Linked DNA regions of Lonchura striata. The protein of the gene in region 3 interacts with the protein of the main gene of each other region in a pairwise test. Links are inferred from orthologs where the notes say so. Each region holds a gene or a part of one and is shown on either strand. Other genes may lie near its edges.

Evidence for each region.
Region 1: the proteins of DISC1 (region 3) and E3 ubiquitin-protein ligase BRE1B interact in binary tests that used the Homo sapiens proteins (3 or more experiments, as listed by UniProt). The link is inferred for Lonchura striata from reciprocal best matches to the Homo sapiens genes DISC1 and RNF40.
Region 2: the proteins of DISC1 (region 3) and TNIK interact in binary tests that used the Homo sapiens proteins (3 or more experiments, as listed by UniProt). The link is inferred for Lonchura striata from reciprocal best matches to the Homo sapiens genes DISC1 and TNIK.
Region 4: the proteins of DISC1 (region 3) and PAFAH1B1 interact in a two-hybrid assay, tested with the Homo sapiens proteins (2 studies listed by BioGRID and IntAct). The link is inferred for Lonchura striata from reciprocal best matches to the Homo sapiens genes DISC1 and PAFAH1B1.

The regions. Positions count from the first base shown.
Region 1 is NC_134637.1:902,166-909,884, reverse strand, and holds the start of E3 ubiquitin-protein ligase BRE1B, read left to right. Parts: upstream 1-4,710; 5' UTR 4,711-4,744; intron 4,745-7,719. Other genes in the region: helicase SRCAP, read left to right, coding at 72-296, 789-857.
Region 2 is NC_134612.1:22,736,354-22,743,744, forward strand, and holds the start of TNIK (TRAF2 and NCK-interacting protein kinase), read left to right. Parts: upstream 1-4,386; 5' UTR 4,387-4,591; coding exon 4,592-4,648; intron 4,649-7,391. UniProt on the Homo sapiens protein: Serine/threonine kinase that acts as an essential activator of the Wnt signaling pathway. Recruited to promoters of Wnt target genes and required to activate their expression. May act by phosphorylating TCF4/TCF7L2.
Region 3 is NC_134605.1:43,738,621-43,745,811, forward strand, and holds the start of DISC1 (disrupted in schizophrenia 1 protein), read left to right. Parts: upstream 1-4,170; 5' UTR 4,171-4,197; coding exon 4,198-4,273; intron 4,274-5,106; exon of another isoform or gene 5,107-5,189; intron 5,190-7,191. UniProt on the Homo sapiens protein: Involved in the regulation of multiple aspects of embryonic and adult neurogenesis. Required for neural progenitor proliferation in the ventrical/subventrical zone during embryonic brain development and in the adult dentate gyrus of the hippocampus.
Region 4 is NC_134622.1:11,367,651-11,374,771, reverse strand, and holds the start of PAFAH1B1 (platelet-activating factor acetylhydrolase IB subunit beta), read right to left. Parts: upstream 3,005-7,121; 5' UTR 2,854-3,004; intron 2,669-2,853; exon of another isoform or gene 2,629-2,668; intron 1-2,628. UniProt on the Homo sapiens protein: Regulatory subunit (beta subunit) of the cytosolic type I platelet-activating factor (PAF) acetylhydrolase (PAF-AH (I)), an enzyme that catalyzes the hydrolyze of the acetyl group at the sn-2 position of PAF and its analogs and participates in PAF inactivation.

The DNA.
Region 1 (7,719 bases), on a different chromosome or scaffold from region 3:
CCGCGGGGGGCGGGGCGCGGAGGCGCCGCCGCCGCCATCTTGGCGCCCGCCGGCGCCGCCCCCGCCGCGAGGACCCCAAAGCGGCGGCGGCGCCGCCGCGGAAACGGCGGCGGGGGCGGCCGCCCAAGATGGCGTCGCCGGAGCGCGAGGGCGGGGGAGGGGACGGGGAGGGGTCGCCCGGCCCCTCCCCGGCAGCGGCGGCCATGCCGCGGTCCACCCGCGCCCGCCCCGGCGCCCCCCTGGCCCCGCCGCTGCAGCGGGAGCCGCGGCGGCGCCCCCGGCAAGATGGCGGCCGGGTGGGCGTGGCTTCGGGCGGAGGGGGCGGGGCCAAGCGGAAGGAGCCCCTCCCCCCGCGCCCGGCCAAGCGGCGCAGGACCGGGGGGGGAGGGGCCGGCGGAGGCCCCGCCCACCGGAGGGGGAGGAAAAGGGGGCGGGGTCCCCCCGCGGCCCCGCCCCGCCGGACGCAGCCCCCCCGGCGCTGCGCCGCCCCCCCCGCGCAGGGAGGGGGAGGGGCGGCCCCCCCGGACCCCCCCGGTGGGGCGGGGGCGGGGGGGAGGGGGAGGAAGGGGAGGACGTGAGGGGCGCGGCAAGATGGCGGCAAGGGGGGGAGAGACGGGGGTGGGTGGTGGTGGGGGAGGGGCAAGATGGCCGGCGGTGGGGTGATGTAAAATGGCTGATGGTGGGGGTGAGACAAAATGGCTGACGGTGGGGGTGAGACAAAATGGCTGACAGTGGGGTGAAACAAAATGGCCGACAGTGGGGGTGACACAAAATGGCTGACCGGAAAGGGATACAAAATGGCCGCCAGTGGGGGTGAAACAAAATGGCCAAAAGTGGGGGTGAAACAAGATGGCTGACGGTAAGCATGAGACAAAATGGCCGCCGCTTGGGGTGAGACAAAATGGCTGACAGTGGGAGTGATGCAAAATGGCTGAGAGGGAAAAGATTCAAAATGGCCGCCAGTGTGGGTGACACAAAATGGCTGACGGTGGGAGTGAAACAAATTGGCTGATAGTGGAAGTGAAACAAAATGGCCGACAGTGGGGGTGACACAAAATGGCTGACAGGGAAGGGATACAAAATGGCCGCCGGCCGCCTGGATGTGGTCATGTGATTTGTGGGGGATTTAAATGTGGCTGACATGGCGGCCATGTTGATCAGTCCCAGTGTGGCTGGTGGGGTGACCTTTGATTGACCCCAATATGGCTGACACAGTGATCTTCGCTCCCAATATGGCCGACACTTGACCTTTGGTTGACCTTAATATGGCAGACACTTGACCTCTGATTGACCCCAATATGGCAGACACCTGACCTCTGATTGACCCCAATATGGCTGACACTTGACCTTTAAATTATCCCAATATGGCCGACATGATGACCTCTGACTGACCCGAATATGGCTGACGTGGTGACCTCTGACCCCAACATGGCTGACAGTGACCTTTGTTTGACCCCAATATGGCTGACACTTGACCTTTGGTTGACCCTAATATGGCTGCCATGCAAGGGGGCGTGGTCTCAAAATGGCCGCCGGGGTGACCTCTCAGTGACCCCAAGATGGCCGCCACCGTCGATCCAAGATGGCAGCCCGCGCGCGTCCGTGATGTCACTGCTGGAGGCCATCTTGGCTTGGGTGACGTCATTGCTGGCAGCCATTTTGAACCTGGCGGCCATCTTGTTTTCTGGCAGCCATCTTGAACACCAACCCCTAAAGGTGGTGGCCATCTTGCCTCCTGGCGGCCATCTTGACCTCACTTTGACCCAACCTCCCGGCAGCCATCTTGACTCTGGCCATCACGTGACCCGGCGGCCATCTTGATTGTGAGATGCAAAAATCTTGGCAGCCATTTTGTCTCCCGGTGGCCATCTTGGCTCCCACCATCTTCATCAATGCCTGGCCACCATTTTGATTCCTGGTGGCCATCTTGACTGGGAAGATGCAGGAACTTGGCGGCCATCTTGACTCTGTCACATGATCCGGCGGCCATCTTGACTGCTCGTCGATCTCGACTCCCAGCAGCCATTTTGACTTCCACCAACTTTTGTGAGTTCTGGCGGCCATCTTGGTTCCTGGTGGCCATCTTCACTGTAAACTCGGCGGCCATGTTAAATCCTGGCGGCCATCTTGGCCATGAGAAGATCGAAGACTTGGCAGCCATTTTGAATCCTGGCGGCCATCTTATCTCTGACCAACGTGTGACCTGGCGGCCATCTTGGCCATGAACTGACAGCGAAAACTGGCGGCCATCTTGGCCTCCCCAGCATCTGTAACTGCCGGCAGCCATATTGAATCCTGGTGGCCATCTTGAATGCGAAACAACCACAAAACCTGGCGGCCATCTTAACTCCCATGACTCCTGGCAGCCATTTTGAATCCTGGCGGCCATCTTAACTCATGTGATGCCCAGAAGGCATCTTGAATCCTGGTGGCCATCTTGACTGCGAGACGACCACAAAACACGGCGGCCATCTTGCCTCCTGTGACGCCCGGCAGCCATCTTGAATCCTGGCAGCCATCTTGACTTATGTGATGCCCAGCAGCCATTTTGAATCCTGGCAGCCATCTTGACTGCGACACAATTACACAACCTGGCGGCCATCTTAACTCCCATGACTCCCAGCAGCCATTTTGATTCCTGGCGGCCATCTTGACTACGACACAACCACAAAACCCAGCTGCCATCTTGAATCCTGGTGGCCGTCTTGCCTCCCGTGACTCCCGGCAGCCATTTTGAATCCTGGTGGCCATCTTGACTATGAGAAGACCACAAAACCCGGCGGCCATCTTGATTCCTGGTGGCCATCTTGCCTCCCGTGACTCCCGGCAGCCGTTTTGAATCCCGGCGGCCATCTTGCATCCCGGCGGCCATCTTGCTTCAGGACCGTGCCCAGCAGAGTTGGGGGTGCGGGGTGGGGGAGGGGCGTTTCCCCTCCCCCCCGGATATGTAAATTTGGTTCCTTTCGAACCCGATCTATGCAAATGTGCTGGGCCGGGGGGCGGGGCCGGGATTTTTGGGGGGGGAGCGGCGGTCGAGGCTCTTCCTGCCGTGAATAAAAAAAGGTTCAAAATTCCCAAGTTTTGGGGTCCCCCCCGGGTCAGTTTTTTGGGGTGGGGGAATTTTGGGGGTCCCTGAGGAGTTTTGGGGTCCCTGAAGAAATTTTGGGGGTCCCAGAGAGATTTTGGGGTTTTTTTAGGAATTCGGGGAATTTTGGGGGTCCCAGAGGAGTTTTGGGGGTCCCTGACAGATTTTGGGGAACTTTTAGGAATTTGGGGGTCCCAGAGAGATTTTGGCGATCTTTTAGGAATTTGGGGGGTGCCAGAGAGATTTTGGGGTTTTTTTAGGAATTTGGGGAATTTTGGGGGTCCCTGAGGAATTTTGGGGGTCCCAGAGGAGTTTTGGGGGTCCCTGACAGATTTTGGGGAACTTTTAGGAATTTGGGGAATTTTGGGGTCCCAGAGAGATTTTGGCGATCTTTTAAGAATTTGGGGGGTCCCAGAGAGATTTTGGGAGTCCCCAGGGGATCCCAGAGAGATTTTGGGGATGTTTTAAAAATTTGGGGGATTTTGGGGGTCCAGGAACAGATTTTGGGGTTCTTTTAAAGTTGGACAGAATTTCTGGTATTTTTGGGGGGTCCCTGAGGAGTTTCAGGGGTCCCAGACAGATTTTGGGGGTCCCAGACAGATTTTGGGGCTCTTTTAGGAATTTTGGATATTTTGGGGGTTCCAGAGGATTTTTTGGAGTCCCTGAAGAAATTCTGGGGGGTCCCCAGGGGATCTCAAAAATATTTTGGGGATCTTTTAGGAATTTGGGGAATTTTGGGGGTTCCAGAGGATTTTTGGGGGTCCCTGAAGAGATTTTGGGGGTCCCCAGGGGATCCCAGAGAGATTGTGGGGATCTTTTAGGAATTGGGGGAATTTTGTGGGATTTGGGTGGAATTTGGGGGGAGTTGAGGAAAATTTTTGGGGATTTTTGAGATTTAGGGAGATTTCGGGGGTCTCAAAGGGATTTTGGGGAGATTTTGGGGGGTCCTGATGGAATTTTGGGGTTTTCGGATGGATTTTGGGGGGCTGGTGAAATTTGGGCATCCTCGGGGGAATTTTTGGGGGTCCCCGGAGAGAAAATTTGGGAAATTTGGGGGCAATTGAGGAATTTTGGGCGGTTTTGGGATCTTTGGGGGAATTTTGGGGTCCCAGAGGATTTTGGGGTCCCTAAGAGGATTTTGGGAGGTTATTTTTGCCTTGGACAGATTTTGGAGGTTCCCAGAGGAGTTTTTGGGGTCATTTTTTGGGATTTTCGGATTTTTGGGGGGGGTCCCCGAAGGAATTTTGGGGTTTATTTTGGGGATTTGAGGATTTTTGGGTGCTCTCAGAGGTCCTGGAATGTCTCCAAGCGGTCTTGAAGGGCTCTGAGTGTCCCCAAAAGCCCCGGGGGTCCCCAAAATTTTCGAGTATCCCAAAAAATCTCAAAAAACTCCAAAAAATCCCCGAAAAACCCCCAAAAATCCCTTCGGTGGGCCCCACCGGCGCCATCGCCGCTTTAAGAGTTCCCCCGTTACCCCTTTAAGAGCCGCGGGCCGCTCCTTTTCCCGCCCTTTCGCCGTTACCGCGGCAACGGGGGCGTGGCTTAGGCGGCTCGACCAATCAGAACGCGTAGAGGCGGGGGTGGGGCGTGGCCAGCGCGGCTCAGCCAATCAGCGCGGGCGGTGGGCGTGGCCTGGGCGGCTGCGCGGCGCTGACTCCGGTGAGATCCGAGGGGGGGGGCGGGACGGGCGCGGAAAAAAACCCAAAAAAACCCCAAAAAAACCCAAAAAAGCCCCAAAATCGTCGGAATTCGACCCAAAATCGCCGCGGATTCCGTGGGGAGCAGCCCAGGACCCCCCGGGGCTCTCCCGGGCCGCTCCCGGCCCGCCCTGAGGCCGCCGCCGCCATTTTGGGGCTCCGGCGGCGCCGCGCTCCCAAAGGGCCGAAAATGCCCCAAATTCACCCGAAATTCACCCAAAATTCACCCGAAATTCACCCAAAATCCCCAAAATTCACCCGAAATTCACCCGAAATTCAGCCGAAATGCCCCAAATTCACCCGAAATGCCCCAAATTCACCCGAAATTCACCCAAAATTCACCCAAAATGCCCCAAATTCACCCGAAATGCCCCAAATTCACCCGAAATTCACCCAAAATGCCCAAAATTCACCCAAAATCCCCATAATTCACCCGAAATTCACCAGAAATGCCCAAAATTCACTCGAAATTCACCCAAAATGCCCCAAATTCACCCGAAATTCACCCAAAATTCACCCGAAATTCACCCGAAATGCCCAAAATTCACCCGAAATTCACCCGAAATTCACCCCAAATGCCCCAAATTCACCCGAAATTCACCCAAAATGCCCCAAATTCACCCAAAATCCCCATAATTCACCCGAAATTCACCCAAAATGTCCAAATTCTAACCAAAACTCTCAAATTTCACTCAAAATTCAACCGAAATGCCCAAAATTCACCCGAAATGCCCAAAATTCACCCGAAATTCACCCCAAATGCCTCAAATTCACCCAAAATTCCCCAAATTCACCCGAAATTCACCCGAAATGCCCCAAATTCACCCAAAATATACCCAAAATGTCCAAATTCTTCCCAAAATTCACCATAAATGCCCAAAATTCACCCGAAATTCACCCAAAATGCCCAAAATTCACCCGAAATTCACCCCAAATGTCCAAATTCTAACCAAAATTCTCAAATTTCACTCAAAATTCACCCAAAATGCCCAAAATTCACCCGAAATTTACCCAAAATGCCCAAAATTTACCCAAAATGCCCAAAATTCACCACAAATGCCCCCAATTCACCCAAAATATACCCAAAATGTCCAAATTCTTCCCAAAATTCACCATAAATGCCCAAAATTCACCCGAAATTCACCATAAATGCCCAAAATTCACCCAAAATTAACCCGAAATTCACCCAAAATGCCCTAAATTCACCCGAAATATACCCAAAATGTCCAAATTCTACCCAAAATTCACCGGAAATTCACTCAAAATTCACACAAAATGCTCAAATTTCACCCAAAATTCACCGAAAATGTCCCAAAATTCAAAAATTCAGCCAAAATGCGCCAAATTCCACCCAAAATCCACCCAAAACCCCCAAAATTCACCGAAAATGTCCCAAATTTCACCCAAAATGCACAAAATTCACCCAAAATTCACCCAAAATGCCCAAAATTTACCCAAAATGCCCAAAATTCACACAAAATCCCCAAAATTCACCCAAAATGCTCAAATTTCACCCAAAATTCACCCGAAATGCTTAAAATTCACCCAAAATGTCCCAAAATTCATCTAAAACCCACCCAAAATGCTCAAGTTTCACCTAAAATTCACTCAAAATGCTAAAATTCACCCAAAATCCCAAAAAATCCCCCCAAATTCCCCGAATCCCCCTAAAATCCCAAAATCAACTTAAATCTCCCCAAAATCCCGCTAAATCCCCCCAAAATTCCCCCAAATCCCTCAAAAATTCTCCAAATAATTTCAAACCCCCCCAAATTCCCCCAAAATTCCCCAAATCCCCCCAAAATCACCTTAAATACCCCAAAGTACCCCTAAATTCTCCCAAAAATCCCTTAATCTCCCCCAAAATCCCCCAAACTCCCCCAAAATCCCATCCAACCCCCCAAAATCTCCACAAAATCCCACCAAATCCCCCAAAAATTCCCCCCAAACCCCAAAATTCCCCCAAAATTCTCCAAAACACTTTAAACCCCCCCAAAATTCCCCAAATCGCCCCAAAATCACCTTAAACCCCCCCAAAATCACCTTAAACTCCCCAAAATTCTCCCAAAATCCCCTCAAATCCCCCCAAAATCTCCCAAAATCATTTTAACCTCCCCCCAAAATCTCCCCAAATCCCCCCAAAATTCCCCCAAATCCCCCCAAAATCACCTTAAACGCCCCCAAATCCTCCCAAAATCACCTTAAACTCCCCAAAATCACCTTAAACTGCCCCAAATTCTCCCAAAATCACCTGAAATCCCCCCAGACCCCTCACCTGTGCCCTCACCTGTGCCCAGGTGCCCATGGCGGGGGTCGGCGCCAAGCGGGGAGCCCCAAAATCCCCCCAAAATCACCTTAAATCCTCCCAAAATCACCTTAAACTCCCCCAAATTCTCCCAAAATCCCCTCAAATCCCCCCAAAATCTCCCAAAATCACCTTAACCCCCCCCAAAATCCCCTCAAATTCCCCCCAAAATCATTTTAAACCCCCCCAAAATCTCCCCAAATCCCCCCCAAATCCCCTCAAAATCACCTTAAATTCCCCCGAAATCCCGCAAATCTCTTGAAAATCCCCCCAAATTCTCCCAAAATCACCTTAAACCCCCCCAAAATCACCTGAAATCCCCCCAAATTCTCCCCAAAATCACCTTAAACTCCCCCAAAATCCTCCCCAAATCACCTTAAACTCCCCCAAATTCTCCCAAAATCACCTTAAATCCCCCCAAATCTCTCACCTGTGCCCTCACCTGTGCCCAGGTGCCCATGGCGGGGGTCGGCGCCAAGCGGGGACCCCCAAAATCCTCCCAAAATCACCTTAAATCCTCCCAAAATCACCTTAAACTCCCCCAAAATCACCTTAAATCCCCCCAAAATCACCTGAAATCCCCCCCAAATCCCCCCAGATCCCTCACCTGTGGCCTCACCTGTGCCCAGGTG
Region 2 (7,391 bases), on a different chromosome or scaffold from region 3:
CAAAGGATGTGGGTGCTTGCTACCCTGGAGAAGCCTTCTTCAGCTCAGGCCAGGCACAGAGTGAGTCTGAGCTACATAAACCAGGCACGGGCACAGCAAGCACTCCTGCTGCTTTTGGCAACATACTGGGGGTGGCTTCCAGGCTGGAGTGTCCTTGGTGGCTTTGGTCCACAGTGGCAGTCCTTAAGAGAAGACAAAAGCAATGGCAACAGAAGGGGCATAAAGAAAACCCTGTGCTGGTCCTCAGCATATATTTTGCTCCCTCAAATATTTTGGGGAAGAACCCTGCAGTGCTGTGGGTGAGTTAACCTGGAAGTGAACCATCCCCTGTCTCTTTCCCCGTGGTGTCCCAGGAATTTGCTGTTTGAGTGTACCACTCTGTTTCCTGATAAGAATATGTAGAGGAAGGGTTTTCCAAAGAGCCCTTGTTGATTTTCCATTTACTCCCCAATCACAGAGGTTTGTACTTACACAATGCTTGAGTAAGGGAGTGATGCACTATCTACAGGGGATTTTTCTTTTGTATACAGCTATAGGAAAAATCCTGGCAGCAGGGTTCACTCATGTAGTCCTGCTCTGCTCCAAGGATGCAGTGGAAAAACACTTCTCTCCCTGGAGAGGAACCCTCATCAGCAGGAGGACGAGCAATCAGTAAGTGATAATGAATCAGTTAAAGTGCATTTGAGATCAATAGATGTCGGTTAGGACACATGTAGCCAGTCATTTCTGAGTCTCTTTTATCACAGCTGCATGTTAGCCTAAACCCCAATTATTATGCATTTTATGGAGTATAAATTTTTCAGCATTCTCTGTTTAGTTTGGGCAGAGTCCTTTAAGTACTGTCTTACAAGGGTTAACAGCGGGGCAAACCAGCCTGGACTTAGGACACCAGAAAAACTGGGGCTACATGGTCACAGAATTATTGTGGAATAAATCATATGTTGGTGCCCAAACATGCTTCCCTGTTTGCTTCATTCCTCATCTTGATGATCTTTTGAAGAATGATCCAAAGCCCAAAGCACCTGAAGCTGTTGCTAATTGGGCAAGGGCTTATGTGTCACTTAGATTTATTCATCCTACATACACTCCCTCACAATATAATTAACGGCGATGGCACTGTTAGATAATTAAATTTAGTTTTAGGCAGAGGTCAAATGACCTGGATAGCTTATATGGGGGCTGATGCCCTTCAATGAGTAAATCAAAAATAGTTATTTCAGGGTCCTCCACTGCTGACAGCAGAGCTTTGGGTCATTAAGGTGCTCATTGCTCACCAAGGCCTGTGGGAAATATGGAATTTTCACATGTGCCCACTTTCCAAATGGAAATGAAATCAGAAAAACAATGACCTGTCACAAAATGATCCCAGTATGTGGCAGAAGAAATGGAAATGGAGCTGATAAGGGATGTGGGGACTGAGCTGGGAGGGCTGTGTGCTTCTTCCATGGTTATTGCTTCATGAAGGATGGGGTGTTGTAACTCAGTTCCTTTATTTGGCTTGGTGGTGCCCTGCCCATGCTGCGTCTCACCCACAGCTGTGCCAGCGCTGGCTGGAGCTGGTGTGACACAGCAGGGTCCAGCTGCCATGCCCAGGGGGGACCTGCCAGGTAAAAACTGAATCTTGTGCTGAAATTACTCACGGCAAAATATTTTGAGCCACTTCAGCTGAGTACTTTGTTTTGAGTCACAGTGACTGTAACTGAAAGGTTTCTTTAGACGCTCCTGGCATAAAAAAAACCAACAGTGCACAGAGAGACACAGATAGATTGGTAAATGCATAACTAAAAGAGTAACAAATTGCAAATTTAATTTTTTGATGGAAAAAGCTTCCTGCTCAGTTTAAGCTTTTCCTGCAGCCTGCCTGGGCACCAGTACAGCCCATGTAGCATCCCTGGCATCTCCAGAGGTCACTGGGTGCACATCTCCCCTCCATGGCTCCAATTTTGCCCCAAGCAGCCTGGAAACAGTAGCACTCTCTGGGATTTTCCTGTCACTTCCCTCTATTGCTTTATGCATTTCTTATTTCAGTGATAATAGGAGGGTCCTCTACATTTTTCCCATCTCTATAGGCAGTGGATAGATTGTAATTAAATCACAGCTTAGTTTGGGACTTGGCACTCGTGCTGAGAGATCAGGGCAATCTGTCTATTTGCAGGATTAGACATATCTATCTATATATATGCATATATTAATCCTTATGTTTTTCACAAATAATCCTGTGTGTTCTTGGATGCAAAGCACATTAGAGCAAGCCAGCATCCTCTCTCATCCTGTTTGTTCCTCCCTTCTCTGCCTGAGAACAATGACGGCAGGAGGAAGTCTCGCATTGGTTTGTTACCAGTTTCCAGGCAGTTTTGCTTCCAGCTCCCCAACTACAAGCGCAACATTGCAAATCCTGGGCTGGAACAGACACAGACAACATCTGGTCTAGAAAAACACCACGAAAGATTGGGGAGTTTGTTGAGTTTAGCATTTAGATCAAAATTACCTCTTTATATGTGAGTGAGGGCTATTGACTGTGCACGATATTAAGGAGTGATGATTTGTAGCTTGGGAAAAGGGGTTAAATCCCGGCAGCCTGCCGCCACTGCGGGTGATGTGCAGCCCCGTGCGACTTGGGCAGTTCATCACCAAAAAGAAATCACATTTTGCTGTGCCCTCGCAGCCCGGCAAGCTGAAACGCCGGCGCTGCAATCAGGATTAGTAAGTGATAAGGCAGGGATGCAATCCCCCGGGCAGTGCGGGCTGCCCAGCCAGCCGAGGGCAGCGGCAGCACCAATCCTGATCTTTTCTGCGAGGTTTCAGCAGCTCCTTCTGGCCTTTTTCCCTCCGTGTCCCTCAGTCCTGCCTGGTGAGGCTGCACCTCCCGCACCAGCAGCCTCCCCACAACTGCACGACTCTTTGCAATACCATTTATTATTACTTTTTGGAGCACATCTCCAATCAGAAAGTGTAAGAAAATCCCATCCGCCTGCCAGTTGACTCATGTGTAGGGTTTCCGCTTCCCAGATCTGCATATTGTAAGCTCCTGACACAAGTTGATGTTGTAAGTACAGCTTCCATACGGTTCTCTCAAAGGCAACAGATTTTTTTATACATATATATTTATATACGGCACCTGGTTTGGCAGGAACCACATCCGAAAAGGGGAAATAAGGAAAACTAAAAGCTGACTCTACCTAGCTATTGCTGGCTTGGGAAGCGGTTTGGCCAATTACAAACACAGCATCAATCTCTTATTCCAATTAGGATCAGCCTGGGAGCTGGTAGTGCTGGGATGGCTCTCGAGTGCCGAGGGAACAGCTCGACAACCGGCCAGCAAACCCGGGTGTGACATCCGCATCCATCTGCAAAAGGGCCAGATCCCACTGAGCATCTGAGGAACACCAAGCAGGGGGATGCGTGGCTGCTGCTCTGGCCTCGGCGCTTCCCACCTCCTGCCTGGCAGGATTTGGGCTCAGCACCTGAACCTGGGCAGCTTTTCACCTCCTGCCTGGCAGGATTTGGACTCAGCACCTGAACCTGGGAAGCTTTTCCACCTCCTGCCTGGCAGGATTTGGGCTCAGCACCTGAAACTGGGCAGCTTTTCCATGTTCTGCCTGGCAGGATTTGGGCTCAGCACCTGAACCTGGGCAGCTTTTCACCTCCTGCCTGGCAGGATTTGGGCTCAGCACCTGAACCTGGGCAGCTTTTCCACCTCCTGCCTGGCAGGATTTGGGCTCAGCACCTGAACCTGGGCAGCTTTTCCATGTTCTGCCTGGCAGAATTTGGGCTCAGCACCTGAACCTGGGCAGCTTTTCCACGTCCTGCCTGGCAGGATTTGGGCTCAGCACCTGAACCTGGGCAGGTTGTGGGCAGCTTTTCACCTCCTGCCTGGCAGGATTTGGGCTCAGCACCTGAACCTGGGCAGCTTTTCCACGTCCTGCCTGGCAGGATTTGGGCTCAGCACCTGAACCTGGGCAGCTTTTCCCGGCGCACCTGACAGGCACCGCTGCGGGCTCCTTGTGAGGGGAACCCAGGCGGCCCGGGCGCTGCGCCTGTCAGTGTCGGGGGGGATCTGCGAGCTGCACGAGCCCGTTTGTGCGCCGCTGGGCGCGCACCCCGGAGGGTCCGGACGCCCTGAGGGTCCCTCCGGGTCCCTCCGCGGGTGCCACCACCGCCACCACCCCGGCCGCGTCCCCTCGCCCTCCGCCGCCACCGCCGCGGTCCCGGCGCGGCGCCCGCCCGGCCCTGAGGGGGCTCTGCCCGCCCCCGCGCGGCGCCGCCCCCTGGCGGCGGGTCGGGCGCCGCCCCCGCGGTGACAGACAGGGGCGGCGCGGGGCCGTGCGGGCGCGGTGCGGGGCGGGCGCGGTGCGGGGCGGGCGCGGCGATGCGCCGCCGCCGCCGCCATCCCGGCGCAGCAGCCCGCGGCGAGCCCTGCCTGCCTGGCCGCCGCTAGGCAGCCGCGCTGCGGGCGGAAGGACAGGGGCGGCGGCGGCGGCTTCTCCTTCCCGGCGCCCCGCATGAGGAGAGGCGTTAAATAGCGCCAGCGCCGCGGCGGCCGCCACTGCCCGGTCGGTGGCGGCGGGGCCGCCTGGCCGGCGGCGGAAATATGGCGAGCGACTCTCCGGCGCGGAGCCTGGACGAGATAGACCTCTCGGCGCTGCGGGTGAGGCGCAGGGCCGGGGATCGCGGGGAGGCATGCGGGAGCGGCACCCCTCCCACCCACCCATCCATCTATGCATCCATCCATCCATCCATCCATCCATCCATCCATCCACCCACCCACCCACCTATGCATGCATGCATCCATCCATCCACCTATGCATGCATCCATCCATCCATCCCGCGATGGCGGGGAGATGGGGCTGGGGGTCTGCGGTGCTTGGTGTGTGTGTGTGTGTGTGATGTGCGCCTGCACGTATGTAAATGCGGGTAAGACAACCCGTGTGCGCGTGCATGTGCGTGCCCGCCGCCGCGTGTGCGCGCATCCACACGTGTGTGCATCCGCACATGTGTGCGCGGATCTGCGGGTGTGCGCATCCGCACATGTGTGTGTGTGTGTGTGTGTGTGTGTGTGTGCCCGCCGTGCCCCCGCAGGTGTGTGCGTGTCCGCGGGTCCCACCCGGACACCGCCGCGCTGCGATCCCCCCGTGGGCAGGCGGACACGCGGGGATCGCGGGGCCGGGCTGCGGAGCTGCTCCCCAGAGCCCCGCTTTCCCCGCCCCGGCCCCGCAGCCTCTCTCCATCCCTCTCCCGCGGTGTCCCTGCGCGCTGCCTCCTCCTCACCCCCCTGGAAAATGAAGCCCAGCATGTACCCTTGAAATGTCAGGCTCGTCAGACGTGTCAGCCGCGGCGTGGGCTGTGGCCTGATGTCCCCCCTGGTCCATTTCTCGTGTAACTTTCTTCCTTTTCCCCATCTTCCTGGCCGTAAGAACAGCTCGTTGGGAACGAGCATGGGGAGTCATTGAGAGAAACAGCATTTTTGCGGGAGGCAGCAGCCCGGCTGCTCCTCGTAACCCGCTGCATAGACAAATAAATCAAGCAAAATCCGCTGAAGACTTGAACAAGTGTATTTTTAGCAATGTTATTTGCTTCAGTGCAAGAAAAAAAAAAAAAAGAGAAGTCTATCTTTATTCACTTGCCCTACTTTCTTTCTGGTGAGTTTCTGGTTGATTAATAGTGTAAATGATTGCTCAGCAATACACGGTGTAGATGAGATTGGAATGGGGGAACCATCTGCCTTAAAAACAGACCTGGAGCTGGTTTCCCCTCTTAGGTGGAAGCTGGGAGAGAGGGAGAAAGGTTGCTGAAGCCAGTGGAGTTAATTCAGGAGACCAGTATAATTTAGGGAGCAGAGGGCCCTCTCCTTCTTCCCCACCCTCTGTTTTTTTTTTTTTTTTAATTTTTTTATTTAACATCTGTGCTGGGAATTGTATTTGAACTAGGTTATGATTTCTCTTTAAAGCCGTATCCAGACGTGCTTAAGTTGTTTTGTTTTTTTTTTTTTTGTTTTTTTTTTTTTTTGTTTTTTTTTTTTTTTTGGTTTGTTGTTTTTTTTTTTTTCCCTGTTTGTGGCTTTTTAATAGCAATGTGCACCAGCTACAGTCAGGGTTTTGTTTTCGCTTTAGGAGGAAATGTATATTCCCTTCCTCCCTCCCCCCCGAGACCCAGCGGCAGCTCCTGGTCGGTGAGCAGAGCAGCGCTGGCATTTCAGGGTAACCGGAGACAAGGGGACCCAAAACCCCGACTGACCCCGGGCTGGGACAGCAAACCCTGCTCTCCTGCCCAGCAGTGACTGTTCTGCCAGCACGGGGCTGCTGCCAAATCAGCCCTCTGCCCCCTCCCAGGGGGACAGACCTGCTGTGGCACTTTCCTGTAAATGATGAGAGATGTGGTGGTTTGCAGACGAGACAAGAATAGGAGCTTAATTTGCCAGGGAATAGATCTTCTTCTAAACTAAGCTCCTCCAGCACTTAGAATAATTGTTAAAGGTCGTAAATTCAGCAGATAGGGCACGAAGCGTGAATCATTCCATGGGGTCTGAATCAGAAATCGATAGTAAATTTGCTGCCTGAGCACAAAACATGGCAGGGAGGAGTAATTCCCCAAGCCTTGCAAAATTTTTATGTATCAGAAAAGAAATGTCACTTTGCAGTGGGTTTGTAGATGAGTCTGGGTGTAGGAGATGTTGCTTTTGTGCTGCTTGTGTGTTTAAAGGGGTGAGAGGTGACTCTGTGAAATGCTGGGAGCAGGTAGTGACTCAAAAATCTGGCGATTTGTTCCCAGCAGCAGGGAAAGGAAGCGCTCAGGACACTTATCTCTGAGTTTGAGTCACTGAAATGTTCCAGGAGGCTGAGGCTTACGAGCCACAGGCAAATCTGTGTCAGAAAGGTCAAACTCTGCCTGCCAGTCTGGCCAGTCCTTTGCTTTGGCTTCCCTCCTGCTGTCCCAGGGAAGGGAGGTGTATTTGCAGGATGGCAGCGTGCTGTTGTGAAGGCTGAGCACAAGCAGAACCCTGCACACCATCATTCAGTTCAGTTTGCCACTGCCCAAGGGCTTATGAGGTGGGATTTATAGATCTGGGCTGGAAGGTGACATAGGAGGTGGCAGGAGCTCCCGTTTTTGCCACACTGCAGAGTTTATTTTGGCCACACAGTCGGGCTCCACCGCAGCAGTGCATCTGCTTGATGTGCTGGAGGCTGGGCCAGGAACAAAGCACTGAGTTCTGATTAAAATGCACGGCCTGGTGCATCGAGTAAGTGCACTTGGGGCTGGCTCCTGCCTTCTCTGTGACACGTTTCTATCCATCACTGGGCACCGTGCTCATTGCCGTGGTACCCAGCAGTGCCCCTGTGGGTGCAGAGGACTGAGTGTGCCAGGATAGGAAGGATTCTTAAACCAGAAATTTT
Region 3 (7,191 bases):
AGCTTTGTGATGACTAGTGTCTCTTGACCCCCTCCTGTTCACCATATAAGCATCTGAAACAAGTCTGCTGATGATGCTGAGTTACTTGAAGCAGCATGAACAAGAGCTGGATGCAAAGAACTTGGACCTCGTGAGGTTGCCTTGTGGGCAATCAAACCACAGATGAAATTCACTGTGTGAATTGAATCAGCACCTACCAGGAAGAAAAATTCCTAGCCTCTCATATAAGATGAAAAGCTCTGAAATTACCACCGCCACTGAGAAGGAAACTGTGGCACTAATTACATATCAGAAAACATCAGTTAAGTGTGTGGCTGCACTCAATCAAATGTTACAGACCATTTGTGAAGGAACACAGAACAGAACTGGAAACATGAAGATGCCACTGCAGAAATCCATAGCAAACCTTACTTAGTCCCTTCACCCCAGAAAGCAGAAACAGAAAAAAATTATAGAGGGACTGTGTACTAGATCAGTCTGACTAGTTTAGCACTGCACAGTTTGGAAAATGGACTACATTATGAGTTAACACAGGAAATCATCGGAGGCACAGATGCTTTGGGAAAAAATATTTTTTCAAGCACAAAAATCCAGGAGCTCACAACGGCAGGGAGCCATAGCCAGGCTCAGAGTAAGAGCTGGTGCCTTGGGCAGCCCCTGACTCGTGGATGCTCTGTGGGTCAAAAGCTGAAGCAGGCTCAAGGTGGAGCTGGGCAAACCCTTGGAGAGCCTGGGAACCACAGCAGGCTACTGACTCAACAAACCTCACTGAGCTGAGGAACCCCCTGAGCACACATTGATCAGAGGAGGGTGGCACAGTCCAAAGGGGAAGTGCTGTGGGTGCTGTCTTGTTCCTGCTCTTCCTTGTTCCTGCTCTTGCTGAGAGAGCTGCCCTGGCTTTGAGCTGGGAGCAAGGCTGTGCTAGATGGGCCCTTTGTCTGCACCCACAGAGCTGCCTTTTACAACCAGTTTCTTTCTGAATGATGGGAACCAGCACTGACATCACCTGAATCAGATGCACTGCAGCAAGGCTGAAGGATGAAGAAGGATGGGTGGCTATTTTTGGCATGTAAGGCACAGCTGCTTGTTGTCTTCTCTCACAAGTCAGGAAGGGCACAGACTGGAGCAAGAGGTCAAAACTCTCTTAGCATGTCCTGTATTTCTTAGTTAATGGACTCAAACTAGAGAAAATCAGTATTATGACAGTTGTTATATAAACCCGGTTTTTTTAGCAGCTTTTCTGAATGTTGTGAAAACTTCCTTGTGTAGTTAACTTACAATTGCATTTCCTGCATCTGAGAAGGAAGAAGCATTCTTGAAGGCTAGGATGGATGGAGGCCGTCTGGAAAACATTGATTTCATGTACATGATTAATATGGTGGATATGATGATCTGTGAGTGAAGCAGGTACCACTTTAGCAAAGTTAATAAAAGCTGTAGTCAGTGGGTACTCATAAGCTTGTATAAAGCTCATAATTAAGAATAACAATAGAAATAAAACTGTCAGTAGAGAAATACCAGGGATAGCAAAAGATGATATATGTGTTAACTAGGGAGGAGAAGATACACTGGAAATGGTGGAGGACTAAACTTACCTAAATTACAAAACAGGAAAGGGGATTTTAGCAGAAATGCCTGTTATTACAATGATATGTAACAAGGAATTCTTTACCACTTCCCATGGGTGGGCAGGCAGGCATTCAGTCATCCCCAGGAAACCAAGGCTACATCATGCATAACAGTGAATTTGGAAGAAAAATGCCATAAATTTGAATGTACTCTCTTCCTCCTCCTTCCCCCAACTGTTATTGTTGGGCATGACATCATGTGGACATATGGTTTGGAATATCCCTTGGGTTGTTGTCAGGGTGTCCCAGCTGTGTCCCTTCCCATCTTCTTGTATACCCCAGCCTGCTCACTGGCAGGGCAGTTCAAGAAGCAGTGTAAGCACTGCTCAGCTAAAACATCCCTGATTCTCGTCATTGCCTCTGTACCAACAAAACCCCATACATATATATATATAAAAGTTGGTACCTCTCAACAAAATGAAAAAGCTCTGTGACATAAATTATCTGGAGCCCTACAAAAACAGTGAAAATACATACATAATATTCACAATATCACACAATATTCTGAGTTGGAAGGGACCTACAAGGGTCATCAAGTCCAGCTTCTGGCCCTGCACAGGACAGTCCCAAGAATCACATCATGTGCCTGAGAGTGTTGTCCAAATGCTTCTTGAACTCTGTCATGCTGATGCTGTGACCACTTCCCTGGGGAGTCTGTTCCGGTGCCCAAAGACCCTCTTGGTGAAGAATTTTTTCCTAATATTCAGCCTAAACCTCCCCTGACACAACTTCAGGCCATTCCCTCATGTCCTGTCACTGTCACCACAGAGAAGAGATCAGTGCCTGTTCCTCCTCTTCCCCTCACAAGGGAGCTGTAGCTGCAGTGAGGTCTCCCTTCAGCCTCCTTTTCTCCAGGCTGAACAAAGTGTCCTCAGCCACTCCTCATATGTCTTCCCCTCAAGGACCTTCATCATCGTTGTTGCTCTCCTCTGGACACTCTCTAAGCATTTTATATCATTGTTTTATTGTAGTGCCCAGCACTCACACAAGACTGCTGGCTCATGTTCAACTTGTCATCAACCAGGACCTCCAGGTCCCTTTCCATGGCATTGCCTTCCAGCACCTAATTCCCCAGTCTGTCCATACATCCAGGGTTGCTCCATCCCAGGTGTGGAGTACAGCACTTTCCCTGGTTGAACTTCATATGGTTGGTGATTGCCCGGCCCTCTGATTTGTCACGGTCTCTCTGCAGGGCTTTCCAGCCTTCAAGGGAGTTGACAGCTCCTCCCAATTTTGGATCATCTGCAAACTTTTTTAGCATCCCTTTAAGTCCTGCTTGCAAGATGTTTATGGCTACTTCAAGCCAATGAATGCAATAATAACTGCACACATGCCTTGCTAAATTCAGTATCTGACATGCAAAGCAGTGCCAGAGTAGGGCTCACAGTCACATGATGGCTCTGAGACCAAGCAATGCCTAGTATGCCTAAACCTGAAAATAAATTCTTTTCCAAGAGTATGTTTGGTATAGAGTATATTTGGTACATATATTTGTTGTTATGCTGGGACCTGTGAGATGGAAGCCATATATTTTTATGTGTAGCATAGGTTGTGTCTTTCACTTGGAGTGAATAACCCAAGGTATGGGTGAGGGGCTGATGGAAAGAAACTCCATCTGAGCTCATGGAGAAGGACCTGAAGGTCCTGGTGGACAACAAGCTGTTCGTGAGACATGCCCACACCCACATGGACAAGAAGACTGATGGAATCCTGGGATGCATTAGGAAGAATATTGCCAGCAGGTCAAGGGAGGGTATCCTGCCCCTCTAATGAGCCCTGGGGAGGCGCATCTGGAGTGTTGTGTCCAGTTCTGGGCTCCTCAGTACAAGAAAAACATGAAGCTCCTGGAGCATATCAGTGGAGGGATACAGAGATGAGTAAGGGACTGGAGCATCTCCCCTATGATGCTCCAGAGAGAGGCTGAGAGAGGCTGAGGGAGCTGAACCTGTTCAGCCTCAAGAGAGATAACAGAGAGGGGACAATTCATCCATGTTTTTAAGTATCTGAAGGGAGGGTGCCAAGAGGACAGAGCCAGGTTCTTCTCGGTGGTGCCGAGTGATAGGACAAGAAGCAATGGGCCGAAACCAAAGCACAGGAAATTCCACTTGAGTATCAGGAAGAACTACTTCACTCTGCGGGCACAGGAACAGATTGTGCGAAGACGTTGTGAAGTCTCCCTCACTGGGATACTCAAGAACCATCTGGACGCAATTCTGTGCCATGTTCTCTACGATGACCCTGCTTGAGCAGGGAGCCTGGACCGCTGTGGTCAGAATCTGACCGATTCTGTGATTCCCCGTTTCCTCTCCCGCCCATCTTTGCCCTGCGGGAACAGAGCCTGCACAGCCTGAGACCGCTGCGCGGGCGGGAGCCTGGAGGACCGGGCTCCCTGGGGCTGTGCGTGCGACCAGCCGCGCCGCACCGCACCGCGCCGCGCCGCCCTCCGGAGCCGGAGCCGGTCCCGCCCGCCGCCCTCTCCTTCCCCGGGGCGGCGGAGCTGCCTCGAGCCCGCCCCCGGCGGGGAGTGGCCGGGCCGGGGCCGCTTTCCGCCGGCTGCGGGCCGGGCGGGATGTGGCGGCCGCAGCCCGGGCCGGGCGGTACCGACAGGCGGCGCCGCGGCGGCGGCGGGGACGCGGCGGGCGCAGGTGAGCGGGGCCGGGCCCCGCGGGAGGCGGGAGGCGGCGGGGTCCGGCCGCCGAGCTCCGCAGGAGCCCCGGACGCGCGGGGCCGTGGGTGCCCCTGCCGGGGCCGGGCCGGCAGCGCTGCTCCCCGCTGCAGGGACCGCGCGGCTCGGCTGGATGCTGCCCCCGGGCTGGGAGCAGCAGCAGCAGCTCTGGGGAGTCGCCCTCGTGTTGGGTATGGGGAAAATGTACTGAAAATGTACTTTTTTTTTTTTTTTTTTAATCCTTCTCGGTAAAAAAACAAAAACAACAACCCGGATCTTTCATTTCACAGTCTGAAAGTTTTAGAATTTCTTTAGTTTTTTTTTTTGTTTTTTTTTTTTTAATCTTTTAAGCCCCTGGTGGTGTTGGCTTTATTTCACAGTTAATGCAGTCTAAGAGAGGGTAAAATAAAGGGTCTTGTGACTTTGAGATAACGTAGCTATCGTTTTTTAACTCAAAAAATAAGATGCTTTGATTTCACTTCAGCCCGCAGTTATAGTGATAGGAAGACATCGATGGTTTATTTGCTATGGTTTATTTGTTTAATTTTTTTAAATAACCAACTACAAAGTGGGAAGTAATGGTGCTCCTCGAAAAGTCACCCACGTTATGTCTACAGTCTTGGCTTAAGGAAGAAAAAGAAAACTTCCTTCTCAGGGGACACTCTGTGTGTATATGCTTTTATAAAGAAATGAAGTTTACAAGACCATCACCTATAAGGTGGATGAACTGCTCTCCTTTTTTCTTAGAGCAGCAGCAATCAGCTGGTCAAAGCTAGGGCTGCCCTCCTTATCAACAGTGGTGCTGGCAAAAGGCTGGAGCCCCTGGGAAATTCTGGAAAAAAAAACACTTCACCTTTCTCAGGACAAGTGGGAAAGAAAGGTGTATTTCTCACTAGGTATGTCTGCTGCCTTTTGGGTTATTTGGGGTACGAGGTTCTCCCAGCTCCACGAGTCCACCAAGACTTTTCTGCAAACACTACAGTCATCCTTGCCATCAGTTTAATACAAAATGGCTCATTCCTGTTTTGGTAATCCACATTAATCTTTGTGTACACGTGCTTGAGTAACTTCTTGCTAAGCTTTTGAATTAATTATGCTAGCATTTTAAAGTTCTGCAGAGAAGGTTTTATAATAAAGGTTTTCATAAAATATGTTGCAGAATGTATAGCAGCAAGTGCTGCTGCCAATTAGAGGTAATGGTGGTTTTCAGAGAAATTAGTGAAGTCCCCTAGGATGCATTATCTTTTGTTTTATCCTTTTGTATTGGTTCATTTACTTGCTAATTTGCTATTGGCCTTAGAGTAGCTCCTAAAAACGGGAGGAGTTCTACTTATTAAAAAATTTCTTGGTGTTTAAATACTAAAGTCCCTTTAATGATGTTGTATGTTTCCCCATCTCATTGCTGAAGGTGAAATTGTTGTGGTTCACTCTGGGAAGGCATTGACAGTTTTCCAGTTGAAGCCCTATTCATAGGGCTTCTAGGCCCTTAGGAAACTGCAAAGTAGGGGTGTTTAACAGAAATATTTGTTTTAAAAGAAAAAAAAATGGCTGAGGTTAGAGATTTGTGATTACTTAAAATATTGGGATCATGGGAAATGAATGTACAAGAACCACCAAATGTTTATGTGCAATGTTTAGTATACTTGAGGTTACGACCATATCTAATATGTCTTTTTTTTCCTTCCCAGTATTTGATACTATCAGAATTATCAATTTTTTTTATAGCTCTCTTTGAGATTGGGCACCAAAAATGGCACATTCTCATGCACAACATTGAAGGTTATAGTGCAGCAGCACTCTAAAAAACAGTCAGAGGCAGGTATTGTATTGCCACTGGCTTCCTCCCTCTTTAAATTAAGATAAATCATCCTTTGTTCTCTTCAGTAAAGTGAAGTCAAAACTTTGGGCCTAAGCTGCTTCTGGTGGAATTGTAGTGGGTTTGTGTAAGAAAAGGGGATTTATTAGCACCAGGATAAATTAATTGTGATGAACAGGTGGACAGAAAGCACTGCAAACAATGTTTTGTACTGACAAAAGCGAAAACCCTAAAGGTTAATTCTGACTTTGTTCACAAATTAGGCACACTTGGTTAGGCTTATTTTGCTCGCCGTAGCTTGGGCCTTTGACAGCTACTGAACCAGCTGACCTTTCAAGCGCGATTTACTCGAGTGTGTGGCACCTCACGAGCGCTCCTCGGGAGTTATGGTTTTTTCTTTTCCCATTTTAACCTTGTCTTTCCTTGAGCGAACCCCTCTTTCTAACTGAGCGGAGACAGGCTGTGACCTTTCCTGCTTTTGGCCATATTGTGTATTAATGATTCCTGCGGAAAGTGGTTTTCTTACCTCCTTTGGAGTATTGGCCCCCAAGGTGAAGGGGAAGGGACCTGCGGAGTTGCCATAGTGATTTCCAAGTTCATCCTTAGTATCTTGTGTCTCTTTCCGGAAAACGGCCCTTTCATGCCGTGTCGCTTAGATTAGGATTGAACCCAGGGTATGTTGTAATACTGTTCAATATTCTTGGAGGAAAACTGCTGCAAAACCCTTATGTATTCGGAATGAATGTGCCCTTTGTAAACCAGCAGTCACACGAGGAAAAACTTGGCCCTCTGGCACTGAACAAAGGCTGCTGTTCCTATTTTAAGCATGGTAGTATCCTTTCTTGAAGGTGTTTCCTTAATTCTGTGTAGTGTTAACTATTTAACACACCATGTAATTTTTTTCTTCTCCTTTACCATACAGGTGTGGATTCCATTAAAAGCTTACCTGCAAAATGCTTTCAGGGAGAAATATCAAGCCTGCAAGCTACTGATGCTGAGAAAGCTAGGATCCACTATGGATATACTTTGTTTGCAAAACATGAGTTTTCTGTATGGAAATTGAATTAGCTATTGACATGGAG
Region 4 (7,121 bases), on a different chromosome or scaffold from region 3:
CTGTGTGCAGCCAGAAAGGAACTGTTGATGCCTTTTGCTTCTGTAGAACCCAAATGAACAAGTTACTCCTGTAGAAAAAGTGACTGCCATCATTTCAAGGACAAAAATCAAATAAAGCTGTTAAGATAGAAAGAGTTTTGCTGGGTTCTTCATTGGCCTTAGCCTGGATACACATTAGACTCAGGTATTTGGCTCATGCAGCCACTGAATCCTGGAACATCTACTCCAAGTGAATGAACTAGAAATAATGCAGAAACCACTGCCCCTTAATTTAATTTTGGGCATACTAAGAGAAGCACAGTCTCTTTCTTGTGGGCCCATCTCCTCTCACAAACTGCACTCCAGAACTGAGACCCCCATGAAAAAGTAAAGCCTGCTTCAGACCTTGCTCCAATCAGCACTAAAATCAGATGGGAATGCCACGAGGCACATGTGGAATAGGAGAGCACTTCCATAGGCAGCCCTTCCTAGATGCTTCCTCCAATCCCTACTGTATTCCCCAAATCCTTTGTTCAAATGCTTTTCCTACACAACTTTAAGCAGTAGTGCCCAAGGGGGACAGCAATGCTCTTACAGAGCTACAGTGCTCAAAAGGACTTCCAAAATCCTGAGACGTAATTTTACAAGAGCTTGGCACATGACGAAGGGCAATGCAATCCAGTCTGTACACTGACAGCAGTCACTCTACTGTGGTCACCAGAGAAACCAGGGATTGTCTTTTTCTGTGTGCCCACCCATAATCCGCTCTAACCAAGAAGTTCCATGAACAAATAACAGCATGAAGCCACAATACAGAGGCTTCTCTAGATTCCAGAAAATCTTGTGTGTACAACACTGGCAGAAAAATTGCAATTCTTATCTAAAATGTAAATAAAATCAATTCAACAAGTGCATATCTGAGTGGATAAATTGAAGCGGTTATCAGACAAAAAAAATCCGGCTTTGCAACAGTGACTGGTCACTTCTCACTGCCAGACAAATCAAAATCCACCCTGCAGAAAAATCGGTCTCAGAACAGAATGTGAGATTTGTTTCATTTCCGAAGCTTCCTGCACCATTAGATTCTTCCCTAAAGAAGAGACTTCATTGTTACGGCAATTAGTATTCCTCGGCAAAGGGAGGAAAAAAAAGCTCTGAAAGGGTAATCGAGCCATTTCGCAGCTTTGCCTCCTTACTCCACCCAGTCTCTTCCCTGTTCAATGGCTGCTCACAGCATCCACAAACATGGGAACAGCAACAGAAACACACAAAAACGAGATGCCCGAGAACAAGCCGGATATTTGCAATGCATCTCACAGTTTTAAAATATTTTCTTTGTTTAGTTCCCCAACATAATTTTCCTATTTAACAAAATTACTCTAAGGGCAAATAACAATCTGACAGCAGACCCTCCCTCTCCCGAAAACCAGCAAATGCTGCACAATCATTTACAAAATGATCATCACTGAACGGAGGTTCTTTAACCAACACCTCCTAATGCCATGAACAATACTGTCATAGGAACATATACTTCAGAGAATCACCACAAAAATACATAATTTAGGCAGGTCAATATGCCCAAACATTTAATTATATTAAAACGGTGTTTATTAAAGATTTTTAATATAGCTTAGATTAACCTTCCCGCATTCCTAGTAGGCAATTCATTATGAAAGGACTTGACCTACACCAACCAAGCCCACTGCTGCAGCACTATTGAAATGGTTTGAGTGATATCATGGCAAAGAAAGGGAAGGTGTCACATTATTATTGGTATTAAAGGTCAAGTTTAATTGCATCCACCTTAAACAAAAAAATAAAATTAAAAAAAAAAAAACTCACGCCCACAGAACTGAACAAACCCCAAACTTTTCAAAGGAGGCACCACTCCCACCCCCCAACTTCCATCAAAAGCCCTGCCTGCCTATAACCTCCTGCTGAAACAAAACCTCGCGAGCAGTAATTAATACAGGATTAAAGCAATATTTTAAGGTTTATCACGGGAAGCCTGTGCACCTGCAGGCATCCAGGCAGTGATATGACCCTCAGAAGGAGAGATTAGACCTCCCTCCCCCGTTTTACTGCAGCTGGTTCTGAAGGTCTGAGCCACCTCCTATCGCTGCTGCCCTGCTGAGCACTGCAGGAAAACTGGGGATGCGAGACAAATTCTGAAACAACACCTACTCCTCTCGGTGGATTATTAATTCTCGCCTTGTTTTCGGTGCCTCGGCCGCGCTGGCCGTTTGGGCCATCGCCCGACGGCCGGCCCTGCCCGGGGAGGGTGACAGGGGGAACCCCCGGCAGGAACCGGGGAGGGATGCTCGGGGTGCCCTCCGCGCACACAGCAGGCCCATCGTCCCTGAAGGCGATTTTATCGCTCTTTACCCCGGCCCATCGCCTTCTCCCGGTATTTGCTAAGTCACGGACGGAGCGGCGCGGCCCGCGGGGGGGGGACACGGGCCCGGCGGCGGCTCTGCACCCGCCCCACCGCTCCCACCGGGCCCTGCTTTCCTGCAGAGTCACGGCGGGAGCGGGGCCCGCGGGGAGCGCAGGAGCCGCGCCCCGGCCCGCAGAGCCCCCGCACCGAGCCGGGGGAGGACACCGGGTCGGCCCCCCCGCCGCCCCCCGCCCCGCCCGGTCCCTCCTCACCAACGGGCGCGGCCGCCATTTTGAGAGCGAGGAGAGGGGGGAGCGGGCGAGGGCGGGGAGCGGAGAGGAGGGGGGAGCGGAGAGGAAAGCGGCGGCCGCTCGTGCCGCGGGCCGGGACACCCCGCGGGCCGGGGGGAGCGGCGGGCCCCGGCCTCACCGAGCCCCGCCGGCGCCGCCGCCTCGCTGACCTGCGCGGCTCCGGCGCCACCCGCCTGTCCCACTCACCGGCGCGGCGTCCCGGTGCGGGGTCAGGGTGCCGGTGCGGAGTGGCGGTCCCGGTGCGGGGGCTCCGGTGCGCGGTCCCGGCGCTCGGGGACGCTCCGCTCGCTCCGCGCTGTCAGAGGCGCCGCGGCCGCCGGGAGGGAGGGCGGGAGCGGCGCGGCCGCCGCGGCGCTGCGCATGCGCGGCCGGGGGCGGGGACGGCCGCTCGCCGCCATCTTGGGCGGCCGAGGCGCCGGGTGCGTGTCCCGGCGTGCCGCGCGCGCCCCTCCCGACGTGCACTGCGCGGCCGCCCGGCTGAGGGGGCGGCCCGGGGACACCGGGGGAGCCGGGAATAGCGGGGATAAAGGGGGTTTTCCGGGAGAACCGGGAATAGCGGGGGTTTTCCGGGACAGCGGGAGAACCGGGAATAGCGGGGATAAAGGGGGTTTTCCAGGAGAACCGGGAATAGCGGGGGTTTTCCGGGACACACCGAGAGCACCGGGCACAGGCTACGAAGGGTCAGGCACGCCGGGGCAGCAGCAGTGGCACCGGGCTCGCTGGCTGTCCCGAGCACCGGGAAGAAGAGGCACCGCGGGTACAGCGCATCGCCCCCGGCCTCCCGCGGCACCGGGCACTGTAGTGCTTTCCTAGTGTCCCTTCCCGGGAATGCCTTCCCAGGACAGTTCTGTTCTAGTGAGTGACCTTGTCCCGCAGGTCTGGATTTGCCAGAGTTGAGAGAAACGTTCGGACCTTTCGTGTCCATCACCTCCGTGTGACGGGAGCCCTGGGGGCTCCATGTGCTGCTCCCAGTGCCCCTTCACAGGGTCAGTGGAGAAACACTGGGAACTGAATGTTCTCATTATCCACAAACCCCGCTTAGTGAAATCTCAAAATGTCCTTTATTTAGTATGTCAAAATGGTAGTTCCTCGTGGTAAACTGAGGCACAGACCACTGCTGCTTTAACCCGTACGCTCACAAGAGGTGACACAGCAGAGTCTTGGCACTGCCTGTCCCAGCTCCTGTGTGGCCAGCACAGCCAGGCAGCTCTGTGCAGCAGTTCTCCCATCCCTTTGCAGTTCAGAGTCCCCGTGCTCCGCAGTGGCCCACTGTCAGGCGTTGTATCGCACTAGGAGTTTATTTGTAGTTGTTTTGCAGTCCCCGTGCTCCACAGTGGCCGGTGTCAGGGGCAGCAGTGCTTGCCCAGGAACTCTGCACAGCCCGGCGTGGTGAGTGCTGCAGCTGCGCTGGCAGAGGCCCAGGCAGGGAACCTGCTGCTGGCCCACAATGCCAGAGCCCTGCAGGCCAGGGACAGCGACCAGAGCCACCTCCAGCACTGGCAGCATGGCAGCAATGCGGTGAGAGTGGGCCCACACAGCTCTCTGAAATGCTCATTCAAGGGAAGAGGTAGTTCCATGTGGAAAATTACCTAGATAGCAAAAACTGAAAGAAACTTGAAGTGACACTGCAAACTTCATAATCAAATGCTGTATGGTCTTGTTACTCCTGTGAGTAGCAGTGGAGATTACCTGTGTAACAGTTACCTCATGGATCTCTGTGTTTGTACGCAGAGCACCTGAGGGTGCTGGTGTCAGCCTTGCTTGTGCTGGGCCTTGGCCCCTCTCTTGCTCTTGTTTGTTTTATATAGCAGTAGACAGACAGGGCTGTGCAAACCCCCAACATCACACAGGCACTTGTCAGGGTTATTTCATAGACAACATAAGAAATGGGACTGAAATTTAGGGGAGGGATTTCAAATGGTTGCCCAAATTACCTTGGCTTTACTTCCATCTACTTGCAAAGCAGACAAAATTGTTTTGGCAACCTCAAAATTCTAATATTTCAAGTATTTTGAGATGCATATTCAAGTGATAATTAGCATCTACCCAAAAAATTAAATCTGGTTTGCAGGGATTACTGAATTTTCCAAAGACTGTTAGGACACTGGTATTTTATTCTCCTTTTGCAGTTGGTCTTCCTTGTAATATCGTTGCTTGATACTAGAGTAGAAAAGAAGTTCCAGCTGCCAGCATAGCTGAACGGTGAGGAGTCTCAGAGCCCATTTTTTTGGTAATTTCCTTGATTGCCGCCATGTACCTTAATAATAACAAACACGGACCCTGCGCCTCAGTGGGGACAGGCACAGCTCCTTGCACAGCTCCTTCTGATCTCCACTTCAGTTTTTCCCTCAGAATATTCCTGAAGGTAATGTTTGCAGCTTGCATAGCTCTGCTGCAGTGTGAGCCAGGCTTCTTCAGGGGAGTTTTTGCCATCTGGGGTGGCACGCACAGCAATAGCTACTACAGCTGAGATTATGATTCCAAACGTTCCATCAGCCCTTGCCACACACTTCCTGCTAAACATGGAAACTGGATTCATTGATAATTCATATGTTGCCTCTGAATGAAAGTTGTCATTAATATTCTACGCATGTATATATTTGTGTAGCAAAGCACCTGCAGTGACTGTACCACTGCAGCCAACTCATGTACACGTTTCACGTCCGTTGCGGTGCCTGACCTACAAAAGATGTGAGCTGTTACAGTCACAGAGCTCTCGAAGAGAAAGAGTTGCATGAAAATGCCTCCACAGATTTGAACTGAAAGATCAGTGCAGCTTTAGGTCGAGACTGAATTCCAGTGACACAAATACTGTCATTACAAGGTGCCTAAGCACATACCAAAGGAAATTAACTTGTAGCTATGTCTTGCAATTCAATTTAGTGAGTCAATGGGCATGTCTACCTGTGTCATTAACCCTGTCACTGGGATAAATCACAAGAAATGAGCATTTTTTCTTCTTTTTGTTCACTAGTGAATAGTGACTTCTCTGTGGCTCAAACAAGACTCTAGAACTGCAATTTTCCACTTTTTTGTTCCTTTAGATGCAAAAGTTTTAGAAATCTCACTCCCAGTACTCATGTGGGTTTTCCTCTGCATTATAAACATAAGGAAGAGAGCTGTGTCCCCCACTCTATATGACATTCTCAATAGCATTAAAAAGAAGATAAACTAATCCTACCTCTGAGGTTCCTCTGTGGGGAACCTTGGCCCTGTGCAAAGTCTTCCCTTGTTGCAGTAAAATGTTTCACTGAAGTGAATCCCTTTTCTAATTTAGTATGAGGGAAATTAAAATTAAATTTTGAGCAAGTGTTCCTGTTTTCCTGCTAAAAGTAGCAATGCCTGTTTTCAGTCCATTTTGTGTCTCACCTGGATGCTGATCACATAGAGCTTATAAAGAGTTTATGCTACTTTTGATGATGTTGTGTTTCTGTATCTCAATTCAATAGTCTTTGATAGACCAATACTATTCTGATGATACTGCTGTCACATGGTTCCTTCTTTAAATTCACATGTTAGTTCTTTTCCTAGAGCCAAAGGATGAAAGTCCAGGTAGAAGCAGCATTTCAACCACTTATCAGTTCTGTTTCCACTGGTGTTCCCTGCCAGGCCCTTATCCATGCCTGACTGCTCACCCTGGAGGTGCAGCATTCCCTGGCAGCCGTGGGCCTGACTCCTGTGCTAGTCCTGGGTTATCTGCTGGTTCCTCCATGTTTTTGTGAGGTTGTAATTGGTGTCTGCTTGGCCTCACATTCACCTTCTCTGTCCCCATACAGAGAGTGGGATGTTAAAAATATCCTTTTTCTGGGAGACTGTGAAAGCAAGTGTTGCCTATAATAAATTTGGTAAAGTTTTTAACATAGTTTTAATTGCAAGTATTTATTGTCAAATGAGAAGATGTGTTCTGCTCCCAGAATTTTAAAATCTGTGGGAATTATGTTGTTCAAGGTTAAATATCCTTACTTAAAAACATTTATTCAATAGTTATAGTGAATTATTTCTTATACCTTCAACATGTTTTTCAGGGTTATAATGAAGGCCAGCAACATGCACATTCCAGTTAAAGGGATGGTAAAGTAGTGCAGAGATAATAAAGCATCAACCTTTAAATCTAATTGGAGCATGCACTTTTGCCTGCAAAAGCCGCACATAGTTCTCATACTAATGCTGCAGCTGAACATGCAGATCAAGTCATCATAGACTGCTGTAGCTAACCAGGATAATTTGTTCATTAGTACATGATTTGTGTAGAAAACTGCTGCAAAGATTCATGCAAGCATTTGGGATTGGTTGCATCGCTCCAGATGTGCTGCACAGCTGCAGTTCAGCTGCAATTAGCAGTTGATGGACTCTAGCACAAGCCTTGCTGTACCTCAGCATCCCTTCTCCACTCAAGCTTGCTCCTAACATTGGAGAAGTGTAGCCTGTGCTCCATGGGTGCTGCAGAACTCCAA